Oryzias latipes: one gene and its partners. The protein of the gene in region 4 interacts with the protein of the main gene of each other region in a biochemical or structural test. Links are inferred from orthologs where the notes say so. Each region holds a gene or a part of one and is shown on either strand. Other genes may lie near its edges.

Evidence for each region.
Region 1: the proteins of cdc5l (region 4) and prpf19 form a complex in vitro, tested with the Homo sapiens proteins (2 studies listed by BioGRID, with this or other methods). The link is inferred for Oryzias latipes from reciprocal best matches to the Homo sapiens genes CDC5L and PRPF19.
Region 2: the proteins of cdc5l (region 4) and plrg1 form a complex in vitro, tested with the Homo sapiens proteins (3 studies listed by BioGRID, with this or other methods). The link is inferred for Oryzias latipes from reciprocal best matches to the Homo sapiens genes CDC5L and PLRG1.
Region 3: the proteins of cdc5l (region 4) and ctnnbl1 form a complex in vitro, tested with the Homo sapiens proteins (3 studies listed by BioGRID and IntAct, with this or other methods). The link is inferred for Oryzias latipes from reciprocal best matches to the Homo sapiens genes CDC5L and CTNNBL1.

Annotation. Positions count from the first base shown.
Region 1 is NC_019868.2:15,893,974-15,898,614, forward strand, and holds the end of prpf19 (pre-mRNA-processing factor 19), read right to left. Parts: coding exon 4,623-4,641; intron 3,178-4,622; coding exon 3,068-3,177; intron 2,973-3,067; coding exon 2,817-2,972; intron 2,721-2,816; coding exon 2,651-2,720; intron 2,563-2,650; coding exon 2,389-2,562; intron 2,158-2,388; coding exon 2,075-2,157; intron 1,549-2,074; coding exon 1,443-1,548; intron 1,328-1,442; coding exon 1,230-1,327; 3' UTR 639-1,229; downstream 1-638. UniProt on the Homo sapiens protein: Ubiquitin-protein ligase which is a core component of several complexes mainly involved pre-mRNA splicing and DNA repair. Required for pre-mRNA splicing as component of the spliceosome.
Region 2 is NC_019859.2:20,800,652-20,805,272, forward strand, and holds the start of plrg1 (pleiotropic regulator 1), read left to right. Parts: upstream 1-1,732; 5' UTR 1,733-1,881; coding exon 1,882-1,890; intron 1,891-2,072; coding exon 2,073-2,179; intron 2,180-2,478; coding exon 2,479-2,615; intron 2,616-2,710; coding exon 2,711-2,764; intron 2,765-2,851; coding exon 2,852-2,945; intron 2,946-3,040; coding exon 3,041-3,122; intron 3,123-3,206; coding exon 3,207-3,305; intron 3,306-3,411; coding exon 3,412-3,504; intron 3,505-3,694; coding exon 3,695-3,844; intron 3,845-3,992; coding exon 3,993-4,094; intron 4,095-4,621. Other genes in the region: fgg (fibrinogen gamma chain), read left to right, coding at 1-125. UniProt on the Homo sapiens protein: Involved in pre-mRNA splicing as component of the spliceosome. Component of the PRP19-CDC5L complex that forms an integral part of the spliceosome and is required for activating pre-mRNA splicing.
Region 3 is NC_019865.2:1,925,328-1,929,820, reverse strand, and holds the start of ctnnbl1 (beta-catenin-like protein 1), read left to right. Parts: upstream 1-1,446; 5' UTR 1,447-1,584; coding exon 1,585-1,614; intron 1,615-2,499; coding exon 2,500-2,733; intron 2,734-3,804; coding exon 3,805-3,911; intron 3,912-4,003; coding exon 4,004-4,143; intron 4,144-4,423; coding exon 4,424-4,493. UniProt on the Homo sapiens protein: Component of the PRP19-CDC5L complex that forms an integral part of the spliceosome and is required for activating pre-mRNA splicing.
Region 4 is NC_019873.2:1,351,063-1,354,806, forward strand, and holds part of cdc5l (cell division cycle 5-like protein), read right to left. Parts: intron 3,709-3,744; coding exon 3,609-3,708; intron 3,530-3,608; coding exon 3,403-3,529; intron 3,311-3,402; coding exon 3,219-3,310; intron 3,143-3,218; coding exon 2,998-3,142; intron 2,925-2,997; coding exon 2,733-2,924; intron 1-2,732.

The DNA of each region.
Region 1 (4,641 bases), on a different chromosome or scaffold from region 4:
ATTTTTTTCCTTTTTTATGTTTTGCTGGATTTTCTTTTATTTTTAATTTATATTCGCACATTGGTAATATAAACTGCAAAACTGATAAATAAATGTAAAAAAGATAATCATAAAGACATAGAATGATAGAAACTTCTGTGAAGCAAGTGAAAGTACATTTAAAGTACTTATGTTCTGCACCTTGATGACGTCATAATGTGTACATTATACAATTACACATTTTCTTACTGAAAGTATTTATTTAGCTATATTAAATTCATACAAATATCCACCTGAACTTAGCAGAAAACAAATGTTGATCTTGTGAATGTTCAAAAAAGAAAAAGGCTTTTCTTCAATTCTTCACCCCCCTGATGTTTTCAGTTCAAGTCCCTAGATTTTCACTGAAATCTAATTTTGCAAAGCATTATTGCCTTTTTATTATTCACATATATAAAAAAAATCTCCCCACTTAATTTTCTGCACCGTCTTTAGTTATGCAATTCTAAGTTTATTACTGAATTTCTTTATACAAAAACAATCTTGCTAGAAAATGAATTGTAGGAAAGACGCAAAATATTTCTCACTAACGTGCAATTTGTGTCCAACACATTATTTATGGTATTTCTCCACATTTTTAAGTAAAGCCAACAAATTAATTCATTTGAAAAAAAAATATTTTTATTTTATCAAAGGCAGAGCTGCAACAAGTACAATGCTGTTTAATGAGCAATACAGGAAAAAGGTTTAAACTGAACAAATAAAATGAGAATGAAACTTTGGATGGCAAAATAAACAAAAAAAAAACAAAGTCTTCCTCTTTTTCAGGATGTTTTACCTCATTGAAGCTGTGCATAAAGCTAAGTAGGTTATCAATTCATTTTTGACAAATTACAATGTGAAGTTGTACAATATGCTATAAAACCCCCTCTTCTGACAAGTTAATTAAAAAAGAAAAATGTGTAATCAAATAAAACAGCTGGCACTGACAACAGGAATAGTTTAAGCTTTTGTTCCAGCAAAACAAAATGTACTTTTTTTTTAAACCATCAAAGTCAATAAGCATGTTCTTATTATGCGGCTGTGGTATTAATGGAAGATGGTTTCATATAATCTCTTCCAAACATGTGAACTAACACACTAAAAAAAAGTTGCCTTATTTCTAAAAATGACTATTTCCAGGACAGAATCAGCTCAGACACGCAGATCACACCATCATCATCCCCCCCTCAGCTGGCAACGTAAATCCTCTACAAACTGTAAAATCGGAGACTTCTGTCCATTCCTGCGGATGTCAGGAACTTGGCATGTTCTCCAAAGGCCACCCCAGTCACCAGTCCAGTGTGGTCTATTAGTGAAAACAAACACATAAATGATGTATTCCTTTCTCAAGGAAAAAAGTCATTTCAAGAACAAAAAGCAGCTAAATATTTTGATTAAGTAACTGCTTCTTCACCCCTCACCTGTAAAGTTGAGTACTTCAGACCACTGTTTGCAGATGTAGACACGAATGTCAGTTCCTGCAACGGCCAGGTAGGTACCGCTCTGATCAAACACAAGGGACTTGACCTGAAACACAAACAGGAAAAAGATGCAGCTCATGAGCTCCCTATGCAAATAAAATAAAAAAAACAGGGTATAATACATTTCCTCACTTTAACATCAAGCCAGATGTTTGTTTATATTTCTATTTAATGGTCATTTATGGTTTCTCCACGCTGAATGTGTGGGGGGAGGGGCGGGGATTAGAGGCATTGTGTCTTAATTCCTACTTTTTTTCGGTAAATGTGTAGGTTTGCTTTGTTTTTTTAAGTTAGAAAAATATTTTTATCCTGTTAGCAACAAAGTAAAAATAGCTTTAAAAATAAAGTTTGAATTTATCCCGAAACCATCCTAATATATACAGTATATTATACAGTCCTCAAGTTAGAAATAGTTTACAAGCTGAAAAGTTATACATTAAAGTTGACATTTTGGAAATATTGGTGAGTATGTAAACACAAATACTTCTAATTTCAGGATGCAGAAGAAAAATAATCCTAATAACTGCCGTTCCTCCTTTAACTGCTGTTATTGTGTGAGAGAAACCTCGTACCTCGTAGTTGTTGTCCAGGGTGATGGTCTTAAAGTTCTTCAACTTCCTCAGATCCCAGAGTTTCAGAGAGCTGTCCTGAGCCCCTACAGTAAAAAAAAAGCATGCAGGAGATTAAAACATGGCAACAAATCCCCATAAAGTCTTCTGCTAATCAACTGCACAACACAAACGCAATCAGAATATAGACTGCCGTCACATTGAAGCAATCTCTAATATTCAAAAGCTTAAAACATGAATCATTACAGCTCGATGGTGTACTCATCAAAATGTACACGTGTGCTGTGTGGAGGAGGAGGGTTTCATTTGTGCCTCACCTGTAGCCAGATAGTATCCGTTCTCAGAGAAGGCGATGGAGGTCACAGGTCCAGAGTGGCCGGGGAAGTTGGCCACATTGGTTCTCTCCTTTAGATCCCAGATCTTGATCTGAGAATCAGCAGTGCCAGTTCCAAAGATCAGACCGTCGGGGTGGAACTGAGCACACGTGAGAGCTGTGGAACCCAAAAGGAAACATTGGCAAAATGTGGAGGATGAGTCCAAGCAGCAGTCTGATGGTAGAGGGACTCAGAAGGCGCTTACCACAGCCAGCACTTTCATCAGTAACTTTGGTGAGGACTTTACCAGTCTGGATATCAGAAAAGGCCCAGTACTGCAAAAAAAAAAAAAACCCACAATGTTGTTAAACGGAGGAACACAATTTTTGTCATTTGATAGCACAATGTTGGGGTTGAGGCTCTACACAGACCTGATCCTCAGAGGAGCTGAGCAGATAATCTCCAGTGGCGTGCAGAGACAGACCTGTCACGCCCGCCTCGTGGGCTCGCACCACCTGCACACAGTTCCCTCCGGTGACGGACCACACGCGGATGGTGGTGTCAGGAGAGGCCGAGAAGACCACAGACTAGACAGGTCAGAAAGCAGCGGAAAAGTCCTCCCATTAAGATATGAAAGGACATTTTAGCTCACAGAGGTAAGTAGAAGAAACAGAAGACTTACCTGAGATGGGTGGTAAATGACAGAGGTCACTTTCTTAGTGTGACCTTTAAGTGTCGCCACAATCTGCTCTTCACTCTTGTCAAACACAACAACGTTCTTATCAGCTCCACCTAAACAAACAGAGTTAAAGGCACATCAACTCTTTTTTGCATAGAACACCACCACTACATTTATTCAACTGTTGAGGAGATTTAAGCAGCAGATTTTAAGAGTATAATTTTATTTTTTTACAGCACATTGTGTCCTGATTGGCTGGGGAACTTGTGAATCAATCTCTTCTGTGTCGTTTCTCAACAGAATTTGTTCAGATTGTCAAATTCACATAAACCTTTGTTTTCATTTATTATAGTGAACTTTTTTTCCCCAATGGATGTTTGAACTTTGAGAGTTAAAACAAGAGAGAAAAGTATGAAAATGTGAATGTCTGTCTGAGGAAAGTGAGGGATTTACTGCCGTAAAACATCTAGAACTGGAGTGCTCATTATGTTGAAGGACATGTGGGTAGATCTCCAGCCATCAAAGAGAAATAATCCAAAAAACATATATATACTTTTTTTTTTAATCTGTCAATCATCTTCCTCACCGAGAAGTGCATGATTTGATTGACATGTAGATCGGTCAAAAAAACATCCTCTCATCCATACGTTTATACAGCACATGCGTGTGTGTACGGCACATTCTTTCTGCGTTTGGAGAGCCACTAGCGGCCTCGCTGTGCGCGGACTGTTTAGTGAGGCCTGGGTCGCCCAGCATGCCTCCTGGAGCGAGACCGAGACCCCCCGTCTGACCCAGCCGTCCTGTCTTGGCGCCTGTGCCCGGTCGGGGGATCTGAGCCCACTAAGCCAGCAGTGTCGTCGTGAAGCATGTGCTTCTGGAGCTCTGTCCACGGGCCAGTGGCCGCTGTTCGCTCAATCATGGTTAAGCCTGCCGCGCTTTTCAAATGTCCTACCTTCTCCAACACGGTTTACAGCAGAACATAGAGGGCAATAGTCACTGCTTTTTGTTTTCACAACAGAACGCCTTATGTGTTCCAAATTATGTATTACTACAAAAATAATATTAATACACACAACAAGGCTTTCTCCTTACAAAGATGTGCATACTCTTACTCTGTAGCTTTTGAATTTTTAGTACATAAACAGTATTTTAGACAAAATACTGCACTGGTTCTCAGCTCAAAATACTGTAGGTAATTCTTTTGGAGCTTGTCGTCTCAAAAGTAGCTTGCCTGCCAAAAAGAAAATGTGGGCACCCCCATAAAAAAAAAAAAAAAAAAGAATACCAGTACTTTGTAGATCTCACATATTGTGGGTTATTTTTTAAAATGCAACTCCTGTTATAAACAAAGCACTGATGCTCCACTTGCACCTTTCAGCTTTTGAATTCAAGTCTCTCCTGGGTGCTGTGCTGAAAAAAGGCTTCAGTCAGGGAGAAGCAGCAGCACAAGAGTGAAACTCACAACGCTGCACCTTAAACAGCCAGTTTTCATAAAGTCAAAACAAAAGCACACAAAATCACCTAAAACTAAATCAACATTAAAATAATGACACTTTACCTGTGAGCACTTTGTTGGT
Region 2 (4,621 bases), on a different chromosome or scaffold from region 4:
CTTGGCTGACGTGGCACGACCGCTGGTACTCGCTGAAGGAGACGACCATGAAGATCATTCCCCTCAACCGCATCATGTCAGGAGGAGAACAGCAAGCTGGCGTGAAAACGTTTGGAGGACTGTGAAACCGTTAAGTGTTCTGCACTTAGGCCTCCTCAGATCAAGTATTCAGCCACCAACTATCACGGTGTCACTGTGTTGTTGACCATTGTGGAGATTTTTGCCAAAAAGAATTTTCGGTTTCTTCAATGTTGTTTTGACCACTAAATACATGTATTTTCCTTACCAAGTCTTGTTTTTTTTTATTCTTTGAAAAGTCATCAGTTCTTTAAGTCCTTAAGGCTAAATTCAGGCTTAAACTTTTTTAAATTTTTGAGATCAAGCTGCAGGGAAAACAGGGGCCAGTCAGTGGAAGAGTTATGCCAACGAATATTCAGTTTGACACCAAAAAGAGTCAAATCAAGAGGCCCTATGAACACAGAACGCTTAAAGTTCCACTCTGATCGTCTTTTGATCTATTAGAAAAGCGTTCCCTGTGCTTTTTAATTGTGCCACTTTTTGGCACAAATTGAAAAACGTATCGTTTTCTAAGACATAGTTTCTGCAGTGCAACAGTAAGTCATTAGAAAATCACCTCTGAGTTGTGGGCAGGACTGTTGGTGTGGAGCAATCCTGCCCCCCTTCCCCAAAGCACAGAGCAGGAAGCTTCTGACCCACCTAGGGTATTTTCTGCATATCAAATGCAACCTTTTTCAAACAGTATTTTTTTATCTGCTCCTGATTTACATTTGAATAAAGAAATACTCCGAAATGCAATTTGCAGCTAAATTTTCTTTATAAATGTCCTCCATCATGAGAAAAATGGCTGAAGAACATGTTAAAAACACAGAAAACACAATTTTCAGGTCTTTGATGAAAATCAACTGTGCTGTGAACCACTGAAATCAAAGGCAGGAGGTAGAAAATGAAATTACAAGCATAGATAAGGACAGCAAGAACTGAAGAAAAACCTGAAAATGTATCTTCAGAGCACTAATAATACATTGACAACCAAGAAATAACTGGAATCCAATTATATAAGATTAGATGATTGTACTATTTTCAGGCTGCTTTGGTTGTTGCAGGAATTTATCCAAATCAAATTTTCCTTTGAAATATTTACTGTAAATTATTTCATCTCTTAATAAATGAGTTCATTGCTTTTTTTGTGAAACCTTTTTATTAAAACAATATTTAATAAATAATAAAATTGGTTTAAAAGGGAAATTTAACAGCAAAAGATTAATAAACTAAAACAAATCAAACCAACTTGTGGATAAAATCAACAATTGTGAACTTCTAAATAGAGCAGACTCAGTAGTGTCCAGCCTACATGTATGAGAGGCTGGAAGAATGGTCATTAGCAAAGGGGAATAAGTAATTCCCAGACACTAGTTCTTTTTCACATCAAAAACAAAATGTTTTATTTTTTATTATTATTTTTTTATATGAACCCTTAATTTATTTCTGCACCAAATGTGTAAACGGCACAGAACTGTTTAAATTTGCCTTTTTACTGAATAATTAAAAAAAATGTTGAAACCCCCTAAAATATGTATATGTATTTCAAAACGTCCCGGAGAAATTGCGAAAAATGGGGGCTTGATAATAGAAAAACATAATCTCCGCCACTGTGAGACGCTGGGATGAGACGTACCGCCAGAGGGCGCTCATAAAATAAATCTTTTAGCCTTTCAGGCTGTTGTACTTCCGGGTCATGCAGACTCGTTTGTCGCGGCGGTGGACTGTTTTTGTCGCTTTGCTACACCTACGGTGTTCGTGGATTATATTCACCGAAAACTACTTAACTGCAGTGTGATATCAATCTTTATTATCGCCACAATGACCGAGGTGAGACTTTATTTGAGTTATTTGATTTTCTTTGGTCCACGCTTTAGACTCACACAGCACTGGACCCGTCTAACTACTGGATGTTAACGTTCTGAATCTTCACACGTTGTAGTGTATCCCCCCTGATAAATCACATGGACTCGTCTTTCAAGTAAACTTTTTTTTCCTTCTAATTGTTACAGGAAGTCCAGAAACACTCAGTCCACACTTTGGTCTTCAGATCCTTGAAAAGGACTCATGACATGTTCGTGGCTGACCATGCTAAAGCCGTCGCTTTAGATGATGAAAGGTATACTGAGCTTTTACATTTATGACTTCTGTATTTAAAATGTGTATCATCACTTTAGTTAAAACTCACGGTCATGCTAATCGTGCGTTCATAATATGTTTATTAGTTTATTATGCAATAGTTCACATCAAAAGGGTTACTTTAACCTTTTAGGCATGCATTGGGAGAAAATATATTTTTTCATGTTTTGATTATAAACATCTTTGGCACTTGGAGATGGTTTGTCTATATGTTTCCACTTCACGTGGGCACACGGGTGGGTTTGCGTTGAAGCTCCTCTTTTTTTTTTTCGTTTTAAGCCACAAGTTGAAGTTGGCCGTGAAGCTAAAGGCAGACTACAGTCCTGTGTTACACATGCCAGTGCTAAAAGAAGGAAAGGACAGGATGTCACAGTATCCAGACGGTCTCCACGACAACGAAGCTTACATGCAGCCGGGTGAGTGGGAAGCATCACCGTTCAGTGTTTTTGGTTTTAAATTGTAAAAATCTGACTTTTTTTTCTTGTTTGTCTTTGGTTTCCGACAACTTCAGCAGATGATCCTGAATATCTGATCACGGGAACGCACGCTTATCCCTCTGGACCTGGTAAATACTTTCCTTTTAGCCAAGCTTAAAGGAACTTTATTCATTTTTTTAGCCAGCTTTTTATTATCTATGTCTTTAACCCAACAGGAGTCGCCCTGACAGCTGACACAAAAGTGCACAGAAACCCCAGTGAGTCAGGAATCCACTCCTTGGCTCTGGCTTTACCACCATCACAAGCAAGGTAATCCTGTTCAGTCAATCAATACAAATAGTACTGAATCAACTTTTCGGGATTCATTGATATATCTATTTTTTGTCTTCTGATGGCTGTTTTAGACAAGAGTCCAGCCGCACTGCAGCCACAGTTGCAGAGATCCGTCGTGGAGCAGAAAGAGCTCACGCTCAGTCCACCGCTCTGGTACATCACAAGCTTCTTAAGCGCTTTTTTTTCTCACCCAGTCTTGGTTGACAAAATTCTAACGCAACAATCTGTTCGTTGCAGCTGCTCTTGGAAGGAGGCGGCACCAGAAATTCCAACCTCTTGAGGAGAACGCCGGTCATGCCCAAACCGCAGTGGCATCCTCCCTGGAAACTCTTTAGAGTAACTGCAAATTATCCTTGAACTCCTTTTCAGTTGTGTCAAATCCGGTGACGGAGGGGAAGCAACATCTCACGTGATTACTAAAAAGGTTTTTGTCACCTGACAGGTCATCAGCGGCCACCTGGGCTGGGTCAGGTCCATCGCTGTGGAGCCTGGAAATCAGTGGTTTGTGACAGGATCTGCAGATAGAACAATAAAGGTTATCTCTTCTCTATTTTTTATTTTATTTATACAATACGTTGTTCTGATTGTTTTTATACTGTTTTTACACTACAAAGCTTTTTTTCTTCTCCTTTTTGCATTTGTTGAGGTGGAACAGCAAAAAAAAAAAGAACCAGGAGTGTTTTGTTACAGGGAAAGGATATCATGAGACTTGCTTTTTCCTTCAGATCTGGGACCTGGCCAGTGGGAAGCTGAAACTGTCTCTGACTGGACACATCAGTACAGTGCGTGGAGTGGCGGTGAGCAGCCGCAGTCCGTACCTTTTCTCCTGCGGAGAGGATAAGCAAGTCAAATGCTGGGATCTAGAGTACAACAAGGTACAAGCTTCTCTTCACAATATCTCTAAAAAAAAACATTTTAGGGCTGTTTGAATATAAACAAAGACAAAAAGTTCAGTCATTTCTTTCTTTTTCTTCATACGTCAGAGTTTTGGTGTTTTAGTGACATGAGTATTTTGTGTTTTAGGTAATCCGGCACTATCATGGCCACCTCAGTGCTGTGTATGATTTGGACCTTCATCCAACTATTGATGTCTTGATGACGTGCAGCAGAGATGCCACAGCGAGGGTAAGATCGGAATCCACTCATTACTCTTTATATATGTCACACATGGAAGAAAAATCCTACATGACAGACAAGAAGTGACAAAGCTCAGATCTTTAAATAAATAAATACAGATGTATTAAAAATAATCCTGCTCAAATGTCTAGAGCTGCAGAAAAAAATTGTTTTTGTTTTATCATAGGAACCATAGTTGGGGTTTTTGGAGAAAGCAAAACACTTTTGAGTTCTTTTGTGTATGAACAAATGTAAACGCCCCTGTAAACAAAAGTTCAATTTAAGGACACTGATCCAAAAAAGAAAAACATTCCTCGTTTATCCAAAATACACCATGAGGGTCTGAAATCGTGGCAAAAACAAGGAAGTCAGACTATAATTGTTAGAATTAGGAATTCTACAATTAGTCCCTGGAAAGGAAATTTCTTTTTTTTAATGCCAATATTTTTAAAGAATGATATTTGCTGTGCATTTATCGAAAATGCAACTTTTTTGTTTCATTCTGAAGCTGCAGATTCATCTGGCATCAATTTAAA
Region 3 (4,493 bases), on a different chromosome or scaffold from region 4:
ATTTATCGTTATCGCAACATCAAGCTGTGCAATATGCATACTGCAAAAGATGGCGATAATCGCAATAAACGGTTACCTTAAATGTGCTAAAACAAACTCATGGCAGCTTGAAATATTGAACAAATGAAATAAATCCCTTTATGCATTTGACCAATCGGAAGGACCCGTTTACATTGTTGACCAATCAGATGAGCCCTTGATGTTTGCCTCCTATGTCGACGAGGGTCATTTGGAGTATAATTTTTAAACTGTTGCAGTGAAATGGGATTGATGTTTTTGGTTGTTTTGCTATTTGTTTATATACCGCAAATGATATCGTTATCGCAATAGTAATCACCAACATCGCATATCGCGAGTTTTTCTCATATCGTGCAGCCCGACTCCCAAGTGCCTTTTCTTTTGTGTGGTCAGGCCACCAGTTTAAGCATTAAGGGATGTTATTGTGTGAAATTGTTTAAACTAGGGACTGTGCTCATATAATTTACCACGAATACAATTTTAAAAGATGACAAAAGGGAAAATCGTATTTATTTGTTTGTTTGCATTTTTTAAACACATCTTTGAACACAACGAAAGCTGTGCACAAAGTTAACTCATCTCTGGTGAATATCATAACTTTAGAAAATTCCGTGACACTATATGGAATGAGTAATATTTAGACTGAGGCCTAAAAGAAAAAAGACCAAATTTAATAAAAATCCATACTCACTTGTATGAAGTTATAAATCCTTTTTTTTATTTTTTAGATCTATCTGAATGTTCAAAATTTATACTGGAATATTTTTGTTGTGTTGTTTAAATGATCTAATACTTGATATTTCCTCGATATGCAATAGATAATAGATTCGCTTTTTTCAGTTATTTGCTGATCATTCTGGAAATATTTTGACATTTGAAAATTTTAGTTCTAAATTTCAATTATTTGATCGGAAACAATATGATGCTGTGAACAAAGCTCTTCCTCGGTCGTTGATCCAAGTATCACAAAATCTATTGTTAAACAAAGTTCAATTAAAACTTCCTTCACTCCTATTGGACGGACAGCCAGTTACAAAGACAGAACTAGCAAACAGCTTCATACGAAGATTGTTTGTGAAAGAAGTCTTCCAAACATCTCATCAGAAAAAAAGCATTTCTAAACACTTCTCTAAAGAAGAGGTCATTGATTTAAGGTCGAATTTCTTTACATTTTGTATTTTACCAAAAGTAAAAGACATTCATTTTAAAATAATTAGTGATGTTTACCCATCCAAGGAATTTTTGATACTTCGTTTTGGATTTGAAGAGAATGATTGCAGTTTTTGTTTAAAGGACATTGAGACAGTGGATCATTTATTCTTTAACTGTTTAACAGTTCTGCTTTTGGTATTCTTCCAAAATTCCAATGCCAGTTCATTTAGACGCAAAATGAGATAATGGAGTGTCGCGACATCAGGTTGCCATGACGACAGGCAGCCCTGCTTTACGGCAGGCATGTTTCTGGGTAGCTTGTAGTTAGCCGTGCAGCTAGTCGCACAGCCGCACTTTCCCCTCATTGCGTTCTAAGCAGACTGTGTTTTATTGTGAGAGTTCCCGGCTGGATAAATGGATGTTGGAGAACTTTTAAACTATCAGGTACGAAGATGTGTTTCTTTCTCAGCCTCCGGTCATTCATTCAAGATGTAGCAGCTGAGCTTCAGCTCCTGGCTACAGTTTTGAACTTCAGCTTGAGCTTCTAGTTCTTCTCGCTTTACTCTCTGTCTTTTGTTTTTTTTTTTAGTTAAAATTGTGATTATTGTTTTTATAAGTTTGTACATTATGTTGTTGGCGGAGCAAAATAATAAAGACTGCTCTGCATCTCGGTACACAGTTTTTAGCGCTAAAACTAAATTAGCTTGGTTTACTTCAGTGCTGCTGGCTGCAAATTTTTATTATTAACGATAAAAAAATCATTTAAACATTTGCATTAGGGGTTTATTAAAAGAAATAATATTGGGAGAAAACCAAAAATCCGGACTTGGTGTCAAATGTTTTTGGCTGCTGGATGGATGACGTTTCACTCAGTCATTCCCTAAAAGTTCTTAGAAATAATCTGTCATGTCATCCTTTAATATAAATGTGATTATTTTATGTAATAAAGTTCAAAAATCTTACTCCTGTGCTGTGTTTTTCATTTGCGTTTTGAAAAAGTACCAACAAGTTCCTATCATTAATGCTGAAAGCTGCTATGGCTGTTATCTTGTTATGGATTTTTACCTATTTCCTAATAATAATCATTACTCAGATGCCCTATTAAGCTCATTCTTCTTACTGTTTAAACAATTTAAGTAATATTAATTTACAGGTGAAGTAATCACATCATTTAAATTGTACTGGACTTTATTGACTTATTTTGCTGCAGCTTTTCCGAACAATTGTTTTCATACATTGGACATTCATCATTGCCTGTTCACCTGATATTTCTTCATCACGTTCAGTCGCTGTGCTCCTTATTGCATGTCACTGGTTTTCCACTCTTAGCCCGATAGAGGAGCAAAACGTCCCAGGGAGCAAGAAGGAAGAGCAGCAGGAGGAGACGATGATTCCAGAGGAGGGAAGCAGCAGAAGGGACTGGGATCCCGGGACCCGGCCAGACATCGGGAAGCTGGAGCGGGATCAGAGGGTCGTGCTGAACCGGGGGACGGCGAAGAGCAGACCGGGGACAAGAAGAGGATACTGGAAAAACTGATGGACCAGGATGAAGAAGAACCCGAGGTGGGAAAGCTGTTTTTATTTACTGGTCGTTTTTTTTCTTTCTTCCAAAAGGCTGTGTCTGTAGTTCAGACTTCTTCCTTTTTTTATCACAGAGACCATTTGATTCCTCTTTAGGTGGAAAAATGCTGTTTTGTTTGTAATTTAAAGCGAGTTATGCAGAGCTGCCTCTTTAGAGAGTGCAGGAATGATGCAGAAGTGATGAACATTTGCAATACGGCATACATTTGGAGGAGCTTAATGCTTTTGGTTCTTTTGCACTACTGTCTAAGCATAGATGAATAGTTGTGTCGTTGCCACGACTACTCAACTTCTGCTAACAACCACATGGTAAGAATTGGACAAAATGAGGGAAGGAAGTGACTGAGAAGAACTAATAAGTGTTAGAAGGTTCTTTCTCCTTATTTAAATGTTCATTGTGTCCATTTTTCAAGGTGCGAGGTGAAAACAATTATCAAAAACAAAAACGCATGTGTGCGAATGTAACCATCCTTTTGGTATTGATAACAGATAAAAATGAAGAGAGACCACGGTGATGAGTAAATGTTGGTAAACGTACCTGTTTTTTTTTTTTTTTTTTGTGGCATTAAAAGCCAGAAGGCGAAGCTCTTAAGTTAGGCCACGGTGGAAAATGCAGCTGCGTCAGAATTTCCAAAGGAGTAACACTAGAACCAGTGTTACCATATTGCAGTGCATTTGAAGACTGCACATTGATAATTCAGTTCATATTATCCCCACACTGCAGGCATTTTCAAAAATTTACTCTGTCAAGGGCCTCTCAGAGCTAATGGCTCCTCTTCTCCATAATGTCAGGCAGTTGAAATGTCCTAACCGGTCATTATCCGTCTAGCACTTTACAGCTTTTAAGCCTTCAGGAGGTCAAACGCATCCCCTTTTTCTGTAAAATGTACCCTAATTGATGCAAAAAAATGACTCCACTCACACGTTTAATGTCGCAGTGATGGCTCTTTGCTCCGGCAGCAGCTGCTTCGACCTAAAAAGCTTTTGCCCCCTTTTTCCTCCTCTATTTTCTTCACCACTGCCATGTCCTCTGATGTTCCACGGATCAAACAGGCCGAGCCGGTGGATGAAAGCACAGTGAAGAAAATGATCCTGACCTTTGAGAAAAGGTCATACAAAAACCAGGAACTGAGGATCAAGTTTCCTGACAATCCTGAGAAGTAAACATGCTTTTCCTTTATTATTTTTTACATCAAAGATTTTGTTTAAATGTTCTTTTTTTGGAAAACTATTAACTTTGTTTCCGAACCAGGTTCATGGAGTCGGAGCTGGATCTCAACGACATCATCCAGGAAATGCACGTGATCGCCACCATGCCGGATCTCTACCACCTGCTGGTGGAGCTCAATGCCGTCCACTCCCTGTTGGGCCTTCTAAGCCATGAAAACACAGATATCCTTCACATGGATTTTGACCTGCAAACTGGTTTATCTGGGGGCTGGAGCTCTATATAAAACATAATGCATCAGCGATTTTGGATTTGTTAGCTCTGATTAGAAAAACTCTAGAAAACCTGTTGTAGCAGTTAATAATATCTATCTTTAAGATAACATGAAAGCAACCAAACTAAGACTTTTGGGCTCACCCACATGTGTTATTATTGATATGATTTAGTTGTCTGTTTGGGGCGGGGCTGTTGTCGGTCAGTTTTATTGTCCTCAACCCAAAGCACATGTCGCCATCGCGGTGGTGGACCTGCTGCAGGAGCTGACAGACATCGACACACTCCATGAGAGCGAGGA
Region 4 (3,744 bases):
ATTTAGGAACATGTGTTTCACACGGCTCTGTGGTACAGACAGGTTCATCACCAACAGCATCGCTGTTGGCTGCCGGAAGTCCCTGCAGCACATCGTGGGAACAGCTGAGAAGATCCTCGGTGTCCCCCTCACCGGCCTCTCGGACATTTACCACCCGCAAAGCCATCAGGATTGAAGGTGACCCCTCACCTCCATCCCAGAGACACTTCAGTCTGTTTCTTAGCACTGTTGTCACTTTAAACCAGGGGTGTCCGACTCATTTTCACTGAGGGCCACATCAGCATAGTGGTTGTCCTCAAAGGGCCCGATATAACTTCTACATGTAACTAAATGTAATGAAAAATAAATGTAACTACTCCTCAATGTTAAATAACTCATTTATTCATTGATTTATTATTACTTTTTAAAGGGACAATTACAGTTGCATAGACAACATATGGTTGCTTGTTACTCTAACACAGTGCTTCTTAAGGTGCCAGGGGGGGCGCGCAGTAGTAGTGGTTTTAGGCACAGGTAATATGGGCAATTGTCCGGGGCGCAAATTTAACGGGGGGCGGTGGTGACAGCAGCTCAGTGCTTGAAAAAAAAATCTGTGTCACTGTTGGTTTCCTGATCTGTTCTATCAGAGTTTGTAACAGCCTGAAACTGTGAACTGCCGTCCCTGCAGCTGCTCATGTCTCCTGTCACACGCGTGTGTGAGAAGGAGAGGGGAGGGGTAGTGGGCTCAGGCTGCAAGTGGAACACAGCACACAGAGAGCTGCCTCTATTGCCCAACACAAGGATCATCACGTGCCTTTAGCTCATGCTAATAATGTCATTCTTTATGAACTATTGTAGACATTATGATGACGTGTTTTTATTTTCCATCAATGTTTTCTTTGTCTGCCTGTTGTTTAGTTGGTGTCAGTATTTGACATGCAGACAGCAGGTAATGCAGGAAAACAGCGTCACAGATCATAAATTATCCATCATTTAGAAATAAAATCAGAACAATGTTTTTATCTATTTCCTCAGACTAAAAACATTAAATCTATTGGTGCTGCTGTGTTAATGTTTCAGATCAATTTACATTTAATATTATTGATTGAATTCTTTTTCTCAGCATCAAATGGTTCAGTTGATCAAAATGTTTCTAGTTTAAATAATAACTGACAGATTTTTTATTTCAGGCTCTTTAAGCTTCTTTTCTGTTTTAGACTAACAGAGTTTCTGTGGCTAAAGAAATATAATATTTGTTGAAAATGGATTTACATTGCTGTTTTCTTTTGTTAATGTTAAAAAATACAATTTTAGGTATACTTAGACAATTTTTATAGATACTAACCTAATATACCGTCACTGCAGCAAGTGTGTGTGTGTGTGTGGGGGGGGGGGGGGGGGGCAATTATTTTAACTGGGGGGCCACATTGGGTTCTAAAATTCAATAGAAGGGCCGGACCAGGAGCAGATGTGTGGAGTGAGAATGAAATAACATGGAATGTAGATGAAATAATTTGAAAGGAAAATGATATTCTAAAGCAGAATATTCTACAGTTTTTAGTTTAAAACTTTTGTTCCCATTTTAGACCTTTTTTTTTGTGAAGCTCTTTGGTACCTTCAAGGAGTTATAAAGTGCTGAATGAATAAAGTTTCATTCATTCATGATCCTTTTAACAAAATAAATAACTGATCTTAAAAAAAACACAAAAACAACAATAAATAGTGGATCTTCTCCCGTCATTATTCTAATAAAGACTTTGAGGCTGCAGCTCCTCACGTCTCACAGTTTGTGCTAAAGCTGAGCAGCTGTGTCCTGCACGTCTGTTTCTCATCCAGTAATCCTCATTTATTGCAGGAGTTACATTCTAAAAATATAAATAATAAAAAACCGTGATCTATGAAATCCACAGAGAATGATTATAGACGTTTATGATTTATGGCAGTAAAACTCCCCACTGCATAAACACACTTTTCTCAGACAGACATGAACATTTTCACCTTGTCTTTTGTTTAATTTCTCAAACCTTCATAGAAATTAGATCCAGGATCTTATAAAGGAAAACAATGATCTGATCGATCACAGATTTCTGATCTGAAGAGCTCTGCGTTTCTGTTCAGGAGACACGGCACGGAGGAGATTGATTGACAGGGTCTCCAGCCAATCAGGACACAGAACGGGGTGCGCTGTTTAAAGAAAGCAGCATGATCGCTCTAAAAGAACGAGGTAAACCGGGAAAGATGAACTTGCTGTTTTTATCCTTATTGTTATTTTTATAGGCTGCTCTCACTGTGGGCTGAGAGAAAGAAATCTCCTCTGTGCTGTTTATCACGTGTGTGCAGCATATTGACCAATAAGCTGACTTTGACTCATCTCACAGACGGGAGCCACCAGCAAGTTAAAGATTGCACCTCTGGCACAGGATAACCCCCACAGAGGGGGTTTTGTGGTGTCAATGCTCCCCCTGCTGTTTGTACCGTGTTGTCATGAAAGCAAACTGAGAAATGCAAACACAACCCAACGCCATGACGATAGTGGGAGGAGCCACGCCAAAGAGAACCCTGCATAAACATTTCAACAGAGAAAGCCACTGTTCCACAGAGCAATCAGTCCAATCATTAAGAAGCTAAATGCAGCATATCTGGGCCTGGTTCTTCAGAACCAGAGAACATCCAGAACCCCCACCCCCAAATCAAACAGAAATCACCTCAGATTATGACACAAACAAGGCAAAACCTCTGCCTTCTTCAGATACCTGCATTATCCTGTCCTGAGCCGCAGGGGTGCGAGGGGTCCGCAGTCCGGCAGCCATGTTGTTTGTGATGTTGTACTCTGACAAAAGGGCGGAGGAGGCGGAGTTTCCACTTTCACTCTCCTCGGCAGCCTGGCGTGCCACTTCACTGGCCACACCCAGTTTGACCACTTCCTCCAGCTCAGCATCACTGATCTACAAGAGGGGAGTCTAGTCAGGGTGTGTGTCTGTGTGTGTGTGTGTGTGTGTGAGCAGGTCAGTGTGGTACCTGAGGTGCAGGTAGCACTAGCTTGGAGCGTTTCTTGGTGAACTCTGCCACGCCGCTGGTCTGAAGGATGGCAGATGGCAGGTCGCTCTCCTTCTTCTTCTTTATTTTCTGTTTGTCTTTCTTCCGGTCCCTCTCTTCACGCTCACTGCATCAAAACAGCACAGGTTGAGTGTTTTTGGCTCATGCCTTGCAGTGCATCAAACCGTGCAGGTGGGACTGACTTGCGTAGTTCTCCATCCAGGTGCTGCTGTCGCAGCCGTTTGAAGTTGGGCTCCAGCGCTTCGTAATTTTCCATGCTGGTGTCATAGAAACCCTTCAAACACATCAAGCACACAGCTTCAGGTTGTGCTCTGCTGTTGTGGGTTCATGGGTTGTTGATGGGAGCTGGAGCTCATCTGACAGTACCGGAGCGGGCTTCTTTTCAAACGGGATTTCAGCATTGTAGTCCACTCCTCGCTTCTTCTTCCTCTTCCTCGCAACAGCAATTCCTGCTGCTCTCAGCTCCCTGCGTTTCTGCAGGGCAGCCAAACGCCTGCAGCAGAACCAAGTCATACCGTGTTATTTGATCAGGAAACAACAGCTTTGGAGGTTTTCATCATATGAAGGATGACCTGGCCTCCTCCAGCTGTTTCTCTCTGGCCTTCCTCTTGGCTTTCTTGCCCTGTGTGTTGGCCAGGCGAGCCCTGGCTTCAGACAGCATCTCCAGCTCGTCTGCAAACACAGAAGCACAGCTGCTCCTTAAAGGCA